2 linked regions of the Arabidopsis thaliana genome follow. The protein of the gene in region 1 interacts with the protein of each later gene in a pairwise test. Each region holds a gene or a part of one and is shown in the gene's direction. Other genes may lie near its edges.

The links. Proteins that work in one complex are often made in the same cells at the same time.
Region 2: the proteins of NRPE3B (region 1) and GRP23 interact in binary tests that used the Arabidopsis thaliana proteins (3 or more experiments, as listed by UniProt).

What each region holds. Positions count from the first base shown.
Region 1 is NC_003071.7:6,710,906-6,715,419, forward strand, and holds NRPE3B (DNA-directed RNA polymerase family protein), read left to right. Parts: upstream 1-1,989; 5' UTR 1,990-2,116; coding exon 2,117-2,565; intron 2,566-2,754; coding exon 2,755-2,992; coding exon of another isoform or gene 2,993-3,013; exon of another isoform or gene 3,014-3,208; coding exon 3,209-3,481; 3' UTR 3,482-3,704; downstream 3,705-4,514. Other genes in the region: FUT4 (fucosyltransferase 4), read right to left, coding at 1-139. UniProt on the Arabidopsis thaliana protein: DNA-dependent RNA polymerase catalyzes the transcription of DNA into RNA using the four ribonucleoside triphosphates as substrates.
Region 2 is NC_003070.9:3,361,293-3,367,073, forward strand, and holds GRP23 (glutamine-rich protein 23), read left to right. Parts: upstream 1-2,139; 5' UTR 2,140-2,242; coding exon 2,243-4,984; 3' UTR 4,985-5,201; downstream 5,202-5,781. Other genes in the region: AT1G10280 (Core-2/I-branching beta-1,6-N-acetylglucosaminyltransferase family protein), read right to left, coding at 5,503-5,781. UniProt on the Arabidopsis thaliana protein: May function as a transcriptional regulator essential for early embryogenesis.

The sequences.
Region 1 (4,514 bases):
TATTGTTGAAGTTGTTTGAGAATGAAAGTAACATAACAGACAAAATTAGTAAGGTACTAAAGACGATGGTTATCAGAATTTTCGTCTTCAATCCCAAACCCTTGATAACTTCGCCGGAGATCTGAAATATATGATACATGTTGACTTTTAGTTTGTGAAGATGATTCAAAAAGAGTTTACAACGCTTATATAACTTGATTACAACTTTTAATGTCAATCACTGATCAATAAGATAAAACTTTGAATATTCTAATGTGTCATTGTTAAGTTGTGACTATCAACGAACTCCAAACGTGACTCTATTTTGTTTAATAGAAGAAAAGTCTTTAAACTCCAAATTGTGATTTTGTATTATATAATATTCAGAATTATCGAAGAAACTTCCTATGGGAGAGCTCTTGTGAATTATTAACAATTTGGAATCCAAACAACTAGGATTTGTCAGGCACGTTGTGAAGACCATGACATTGATGTATTGAAATATGCAATAATTTGTAATTACATAAATATTGAGATCTGTTTGACATGCCCAATCAAAACATACAATCATGTCAATAATTAAGTGATCCCAAATTGTTTAAACGATTTACCTTAGTGATCAAAGTCCTAAACTCGTTTAAAAAACTAATGGTCAAAAGATTCCTAAAAAATTGCAAGTAGGCCACGAAACATAGAGAAAGTGATATGAACTTTAAGTTTCTAACAATACACCAATAAAATTATGGTCCAGATTTTGATCTATATGTAATAGGTTCATGAACTTAGTTTTAAAAGTCACAAACGGTATACGTAGATTATTGTTAACATGAACGACTAACAACGACATAACACGCGCAATTCATATGACTCTAGATGTTACCCTTGATATTCACATGCATGTAAAACTCTCAATATGCTATTTGAAAGTCTCCGGGGGTTGCCACGTCATCACATCGCTCCAAAGGCCCCATTTGTTTTTTCATTTTTTTTTCCTTTATTAAATGTTTTTCTCATCGACCAATCGTCCTCTGACTTTTTTTATTTTGACGAGGGAAATGTATTCAGATTCGAGCGGAACCGCGGTTGGCCCGGTAAACCCGATGACTCAGTCACTAATCCAGTTTGGCTCCAACACTACAATCCGCTAATTTTCAATCAGGTAAATTTTGAAAATCTCTAATAAATTCCGGTAATGGTATAACCCGCGATATGGTACTACTAGTTGAAACCGTCGTGCTTAAAAATGTTGATTAAAATTCAACTTTTTTTTTTTGGCTAAACTGCAAATATCATATATATGAAAAGGATGGTTTTACAAGGAAGTTAAACCCGGAATTGGTTTCTTGGCAAAATAAAAATAAAAAAGGAAAGCAATATTAGAATTTTGGACCAGACATGATCAGTGCACTTAAAGCCCCAAAACCCACTAAAATTCTATTTTTAAAAATAATTTATATTTTCTGTTGGATAAAATATATTATATGTAATCTTTTAGATTTAGGTCAAGATTTAATTGTGTCAATGAAAATAAGCGGAATAATTATGAAAATAAGCGGAATAATGATGAGTACAACTTGTACATTGTCCGAAACCATTCACATAATTACCATTAAAATTAATTATGTAAAAAAATTTTAATTGTAATTAGAAAGAATAATTTTGGAAAAACACTATATAAAGATTAAAACAACAAATTTACCATTATTCTTTATGAACCAATGCATTTTTAATCCTTTTTACTCTTTATATAATGTTTTTAATCCAAGTTACTGTTAAAAATATGGAATTTCGATTCTTTTTAATATTTGTATTTCCAAAATTATTATTATGTAATTCAAATTATAAAGATTAAAAAGTCTTAAAATAACATTGGGTCATTATTTGAATTGATGTAAACAGAAAATCCATTGTAGACATTTTGACCATTCCCAATAACTGTTATGAGAAGCCTGAAAATGCCCAGTAAACAAAAGAATAGGCCCATATAGGCCCAACTTAAACTACTATAGTTCTTCTTATACCTTTTTCCACTCTCACTCACTTTGCTCTCTCCAAATTTCTTCTTCTTCTCCGGCGAAGAAATCGAAAAGTCATTACCCTAAGAGTCCCAGAGTCGTCAGAAGGAACAGCTTTTGAAATGGACGGTGTCACCTACCAAAGATTCCCAACGGTGAAGATCCGTGAGCTTAAAGATGACTACGCCAAGTTCGAGCTTCGTGAAACCGACGTTTCAATGGCCAACGCTCTCCGTCGCGTAATGATCTCCGAAGTCCCCACCATGGCAATCCATCTCGTCAAAATCGAGGTTAATTCCTCTGTTCTCAACGACGAGTTCATTGCTCAACGACTTAGTCTCATCCCTCTCACTAGCGAGCGTGCTATGAGCATGCGGTTCTGTCAAGATTGTGAAGATTGTAATGGAGATGAACATTGCGAGTTCTGCTCTGTTGAGTTTCCCCTTAGTGCTAAGTGTGTTACTGACCAAACCCTAGATGTTACTAGTAGGGATCTCTACAGTGCTGATCCTACTGTTACTCCTGTTGATTTCACTAGTAACTCATCTACTTCTGATTCAAGCGAGCACAAGTAAGTCCCTTTTCATCATTGTAGTGATTATTTGTTCTTTATGAATTGATTGGAATTGCTAAGCTTAGATATTACACAATGCTAAACAAAATTTGACATCTTTAGATGCCCTTTGCATGAGTCTTCCTTTTGGTAGTTCTGTGGCTTTTTTTTCTGCAGTTTCTTAGACTGTTATTGTTTTGGTTTCAGGGGAATTATCATTGCGAAACTACGCAGGGGACAAGAGTTGAAGCTTAAAGCATTAGCTAGGAAAGGAATTGGGAAAGATCATGCGAAATGGTCTCCTGCAGCTACTGTTACGTATATGTATGAGCCTGACATTATTATCAATGAAGAGATGATGAACACTTTGACAGATGAGGAAAAAATTGACTTGATTGAGAGCAGTCCTACCAAAGTGTTTGGCATTGACCCAGTCACCGGACAGGTTAATTTCGATGTTCTGTAAGAATAACATCTATACAAGTTTATAGCTTTGAGACTTCAATATGATTGTACTACTTTATAGGCTACCATGCTTTGAAATATATGTATGTGATGTGGTGTATGAATTTTCTTTAAGTGTTTAGTGCGTTTAGCTCATTTCTTTTGCAGTCTATTGTTTGAATCATCACAACTGTAATTATAATACTTTGCTTCTTAGGTTGTGGTGGTTGATCCTGAAGCATACACTTACGATGAAGAAGTGATCAAGAAAGCTGAAGCAATGGGGAAACCGGGACTCATTGAGATCCATCCGAAACATGATAGTTTTGTATTCACTGTTGAGTCCACAGGTGCATTGAAGGCTTCTCAGCTGGTACTAAATGCCATTGATATCCTGAAGCAGAAGCTTGATGCAATCCGTCTCTCAGATAACACTGTAGAAGCCGATGATCAGTTTGGTGAACTCGGTGCCCATATGCGTGAAGGATGAAATCGTAGCTCTTTTTTTACCTGTTTGATCAGGGTTTAAGTTTCTTCTAGACCAGACTAATATATTAACCGTAGCGGCACTGCCTTGTTTGATAGCAACATGTAAAGTGGCAGTCTTGTCTTTGTTCCCGACCTCTGACTGATCCTTGTGTTCCTGAACCTTGTTATGTTGGGTTATTTTTAGTCGTTGAACTCTCTCGTAATTGGCGTTTTTTTTGTTGTCATTGTTAAGAATGGGTTAGTTAATATAGGAAAAAAGATTTTAATTGATATTAATTAAGGTAAAAACAAAATATTAAACTAATATTGAAAAGTTTAATATTATATTAGTGAGATACTCTAACAAAACCAAGTTAATATTTTTCTATTAATTTATCTAAAAAAATAATATATATCCACATGTTAGATATATATATGTATACTTAAAAAAAAAATGTGAGTGGATGAAAAATATTTGTTTCTTCTTAATGCTGATACCTAGGAGTGTCAAAATGGGTAACCCAACTCAACTCAACTCATAATCAAATGAGTTTAAAGTTAAATGAGTTATAGGTTGACCCAACTCATTTTGTTAAATAGATTGGATCAAACTATAACTCATTTAATTTGATGAGTTGAGTTGTTAAATGGGTTAACACATTTAAGTAATAATTAAATTAATTTATTTACGTGTTAAACACTCAACTGTAATGGCTACTCTATGTCTTCCTCCTACTTAATTTCCAATGCTTCCGGAATCCTTATCTTACATTTCTCGACCACATTTTTGAGTAATAGTAATAGGCTAAGGCGCTCGCCGTAAATTATTTAAGTGCACCTGAGAGTAAATGAGTCAATAGGTCAAGTTGCTCCAGGTATGAAATTCACGAATTAAAAATGCTGTAATATACTCTTTCCCATAACTTCTCATACCAGACCAACATTATTATTATAAAACAATAATAAATAATAATTATTATTAATTCATTATCATCAAACTTATGATATTTACGGATTCCACTTTTTACGGGTTTACGTTTTTGGCGGGAAAATCT
Region 2 (5,781 bases), on another chromosome or scaffold:
TCCAAACTTCCCACAATTGTAGCAAAATCACCTGGGATAAGAATCAGGTGTGATTGTCAATAGACTACGAATGGTTAGTGCTCCAGATCTGCCAAATCTCACAATGAGCAAAGGAATGCCTCTGCGGCTACAACTGATTGTTTGTGTCTGCTTATATGCTCCAACGATTTGTTTAACTTATATGCATACCATCTCAGTTTCCTGCACATATCCAGCTAATCCCATCTGCTCTTATATCTCATCAATCAACAAGAAAGCTGAGTGAGACTTGTCAGCTGCAGCAAACATATGGTCTCGTTTATTTGTCCGTCTCGAACTTGTCCCAGGACATATTCATACATGCTAGGAAATCGGCTCCAAAACCATCAGTCGCAGCAGCACTCGGGGAACTCTGTGAATCCGCCGCTGTATCTGAGATTTCAAATCCAAAACCGGAGATAACCATATCTGAATAGAACCAAATTGACCGTAAAAACACAACGAACGACTCCAATAACAGTATTCCGATTCAGTAACCCAATTACTGACATCCTCTCGCCATCGCCTAAAAGTAAAAGTGAACATTTTTTTTTTGTGTATTAATAGTTTTAATTTCATCAAAGCAAAAATTGTTTTTGGAAAAAAAGGCCAAAACGCTTCCCTATGCCTAGCCAACAAATTATGGGCCGGGCCAGATGAGGCCCGTTTAATATGTTCACGAGTATAAATTTAGAGCATGGTTATAAGTGATACTCATAAAGTATTATTAAACATTTTTTAGTATTATTTATTATTTAAATTTTTTCAATGATTTTTAATGATCTTTTATGGTTATAGATGATACTCATAAAGTATGGGTATATGTGATTTTTTAGAATTTTTTTTTTCTCTGTTTTTTCCTGACGAATCAGTTGCCGTCACGTCACTCGATACTGGGTATTAGAAGTATCATTCCACTCTGATCAGGTCCAACTGTATACTCTGATCCATTAAACAATTATTGATGGGCTTCTGATACTCTGATTATATCAGCTATGTACATGGTCTTACCCCTTTAATATCATTATATATATCGTTACATATCGTATGATCAATCCCTTCTTGTTTCTTTTCCTGATAAACTTTTCTCCACAAAAAAATGGTTTCAAGCGATTAAGATTCTCTTGTCGTTACCCAGATCACCACGACGAAAACAGTTCACAAAGGATCTTCCAAGTTGTTCTAGTTCATTTCGCTGAAGTCTTTTTGTCGAGAAGCAATCACTACCGTGGAAGAGAAGAAGAAGAAGGTCACCCCAAACACCGATCTCATCAAGATGAAAAACGAAGATAACGCCAAGGATATTGCAAAGATTTTCCCTCTTTATATAACATAGGGCTTTGAGGCTGTCAAAATATGGGGCATGGAGATGTTTAAGAAGAAGATGAACAAGAAGTAAATCATGATTTGTTCCATGTAAAGTTCAACAAATTCCTGTTTTCACGTTATATGAGCATCTTTTCATATAAAATTTCACATATATCTTTAATACTGTTAATGATCTTTCTTCAAAAACTAGTATGCATGCAGTTCGAACATTTTCGTATAAAGTTTCAGTTTCAAGAAAGTTTGATTTTTTTCTTTATTATGGACTCGTTTTGAATATGAGTCAATACCGAGTTTGAATGTGATGCCGAGTTTTTCATAAAGATACTGGAACTTTTCCAAAACTGTTATTTACTTCCCGGACCCATATCTGCAATTTTCACAAAAAGCCTATTATGGTCCTAAATTTTAAACCCCACGATCACACCTTTATTGTATCATCAGAACCCACGCTAGTTTTGCACTCACACAAACCACGACATGCATGGCAAAATTTCTCGACTTCTTCAAGTGATATTTCCTCACTAGGATGGAAACTTTCCAACAACCATCCATATGCAGAGTGCATGCTTAGTGGTTGGCATCTCACCAGCTATGGATTATTTGAGACACGTATTATGGTCTGTTAATATCGTTTGGGCCTTTGAAGGAGAAGCCCTAAATAATCCAACCTTTCTTTACTTGTCTTTGGAATAACATTACACGTATTACCAAACAGCCCTCATTTAAACACTACGACGTCGTCCTTTAATTTTCATTTCGACATTACTTTTTAATAAAAGTCCCATTTCTTCACATCCAAGGGTTTAAGCCACGAGCTCGCTCTCTCTACTCCCACCATCGTCATTGGTTTCGTCTTCCTCTAACCTCTAAAACCCTAAATCATTTTCCCTCCACCATGTCTCTCAGTCACCTCCTCCGCCGTCTCTGTACAACCACTACCACTACCCGTAGCCCTCTTTCCATCTCGTTCCTCCACCAACGCATCCACAACATCTCACTTTCCCCGGCAAATGAAGATCCGGAGACGACCACTGGTAATAATCAGGATTCAGAGAAATACCCAAACCTTAATCCCATTCCAAATGATCCTTCCCAATTCCAGATTCCTCAGAATCACACCCCTCCAATTCCCTATCCACCCATCCCGCATCGTACCATGGCCTTCTCTTCAGCCGAAGAAGCCGCTGCTGAGCGCCGCCGCCGTAAACGTCGTCTCCGAATTGAACCTCCTCTCCACGCTCTCCGTCGCGATCCTTCAGCTCCTCCTCCAAAACGTGATCCCAACGCGCCACGGCTTCCGGATTCAACTTCCGCTCTCGTCGGCCAAAGGCTTAACCTTCACAACAGAGTCCAATCACTGATCAGAGCATCAGATCTCGACGCTGCATCAAAGCTCGCTCGCCAGTCTGTGTTTTCCAATACTCGACCTACTGTCTTCACCTGTAACGCCATCATCGCCGCTATGTACCGAGCCAAGCGTTACAGTGAATCGATTTCTCTATTTCAGTATTTCTTTAAGCAGTCTAACATCGTCCCCAATGTAGTCTCATACAATCAGATCATCAACGCTCATTGTGATGAAGGGAATGTCGACGAAGCCCTTGAAGTGTACAGACACATATTGGCTAATGCTCCTTTTGCTCCATCCTCAGTTACTTATAGACATTTGACCAAAGGTTTGGTTCAAGCTGGAAGGATCGGAGATGCTGCGAGTTTATTAAGGGAGATGTTGAGCAAAGGTCAAGCTGCGGATTCCACGGTGTACAACAATCTGATTAGGGGATATTTGGACCTTGGTGATTTCGATAAGGCTGTTGAGTTCTTTGATGAATTGAAGTCTAAGTGTACTGTTTATGATGGGATTGTGAATGCTACCTTTATGGAGTACTGGTTTGAGAAAGGGAACGATAAGGAAGCTATGGAGTCTTACAGGTCTTTGTTAGATAAGAAATTCAGAATGCATCCACCGACTGGTAATGTACTTTTGGAAGTGTTTCTTAAGTTTGGTAAGAAGGATGAAGCTTGGGCTTTGTTTAATGAGATGTTGGATAATCACGCTCCTCCGAATATCCTTTCGGTGAATTCGGATACGGTTGGTATAATGGTCAATGAATGTTTCAAGATGGGAGAGTTTAGTGAAGCTATTAATACATTCAAGAAGGTCGGAAGTAAGGTCACCTCCAAACCGTTTGTGATGGATTATTTAGGTTACTGTAACATAGTAACAAGATTCTGTGAACAAGGGATGTTAACAGAAGCTGAAAGGTTCTTTGCTGAAGGTGTATCTAGATCTTTGCCTGCTGATGCTCCAAGTCATAGAGCAATGATCGATGCTTATCTCAAGGCAGAGAGAATTGACGATGCTGTCAAGATGTTGGACAGGATGGTTGATGTGAATCTACGGGTGGTTGCTGATTTCGGTGCAAGAGTCTTTGGTGAGCTGATTAAGAATGGTAAGCTCACGGAATCTGCAGAAGTTTTGACTAAGATGGGAGAGAGGGAACCAAAACCAGATCCTTCCATTTATGATGTGGTGGTTAGAGGTCTTTGTGATGGTGATGCACTTGACCAAGCCAAGGACATTGTTGGTGAGATGATTAGACATAATGTTGGGGTTACTACTGTGCTGCGGGAATTCATCATTGAGGTTTTTGAGAAGGCAGGACGTCGTGAGGAGATTGAGAAAATTTTGAACTCTGTTGCCCGGCCGGTTAGAAACGCTGGGCAGTCTGGTAACACTCCACCTAGGGTACCCGCAGTGTTTGGAACCACACCTGCAGCTCCGCAGCAGCCTAGAGACAGGGCCCCATGGACGAGCCAAGGAGTGGTGCATTCCAATTCAGGTTGGGCCAATGGAACTGCAGGTCAAACAGCAGGAGGAGCTTACAAGGCTAATAATGGCCAGAATCCCTCTTGGTCCAACACGTCTGATAACCAGCAGCAACAATCGTGGTCGAATCAGACGGCAGGGCAACAGCCACCGTCATGGTCGAGACAGGCACCGGGATATCAACAGCAGCAATCTTGGTCTCAGCAATCGGGGTGGTCAAGTCCTTCAGGTCATCAGCAATCATGGACTAATCAGACAGCTGGCCAGCAGCAACCTTGGGCTAATCAGACGCCTGGTCAGCAGCAACAGTGGGCTAATCAAACGCCTGGTCAGCAGCAACAATTGGCTAATCAGACGCCTGGCCAGCAGCAACAGTGGGCTAATCAAACGCCTGGCCAGCAGCAACAATGGGCTAATCAGAATAATGGTCACCAGCAACCGTGGGCTAATCAGAACACTGGTCATCAGCAATCATGGGCTAATCAGACTCCTAGCCAGCAGCAACCATGGGCTAATCAGACAACCGGCCAGCAACAAGGGTGGGGAAATCAGACAACCGGCCAGCAACAGCAGTGGGCTAACCAGACAGCTGGCCAGCAGTCAGGGTGGACAGCGCAGCAACAGTGGTCTAATCAGACAGCTAGCCATCAGCAGTCACAGTGGTTAAATCCCGTGCCAGGAGAGGTGGCTAATCAGACACCGTGGTCAAACTCTGTGGACAGTCATCTTCCTCAACAACAGGAGCCAGGGCCTTCCCATGAGTGCCAAGAGACACAAGAAAAAAAGGTAGTGGAGTTGAGGAACTAGTTTGACAAACTCGCTATTTCTTCTGCACCACCATTCTCCTCATAGTTAATTTGGCTTTTGCTTTGTGGTTCCTATTTTTTGCAAACTCTAGTAGTTATTTCTTTAGGATCAACATCATAATCTACTACGTTCGTTGCCCTTGCTTCTTCACTTGTATGTATGGTTCTTTTGAAGCCAATGGCTTCTAAAGAGTAATGGAATTCAAAATCAGTAATTCGATCAAAACATTAAATTCCATTTCTTCCAAAAAGTGATCAAAATGAATAATATATTCGTAAATCTACAACTAGATTAGCTCTGCAGGTCGGCAGAAGCAAAACTCTTACATACAAAAGGCTTGACCATTACGATCATCTCTATAAAACCCCAAATAATGAAGAGATTATAACCAAAAGAATAAAACTATATAAGAAAGAAAAAGAGTCCTATGTTATGTATATTATATATCTCGTAGAAGAATCTCATCTCATCCCTATAAAAGAAGAAAGAAGAGGAGAAATGAATCAGTTTGTTTTTTCTCAAAACCCCAGGACAGTAGAGCTCAAATTCATAAGAGGAGCTAAGGCAGAAGGAGAGAACTTGCGAGCAAAAAGGAAGCATAACGAAGTTGGCTCTTCATTGTAAAGACAATCCGTCTCGTTTTTCCTTATAGATTGGAGAAACCCTTCTGTGATATTAGCTGCAGCATATGTAGCTGGATGGGGACCGCCTATGGACCAATCAACCCATGTCACGCTTCTATTTGCGTTCATTGAACCGTGAAACATGTTCAAGAAAGTAGGGATGTAATGCTCGTC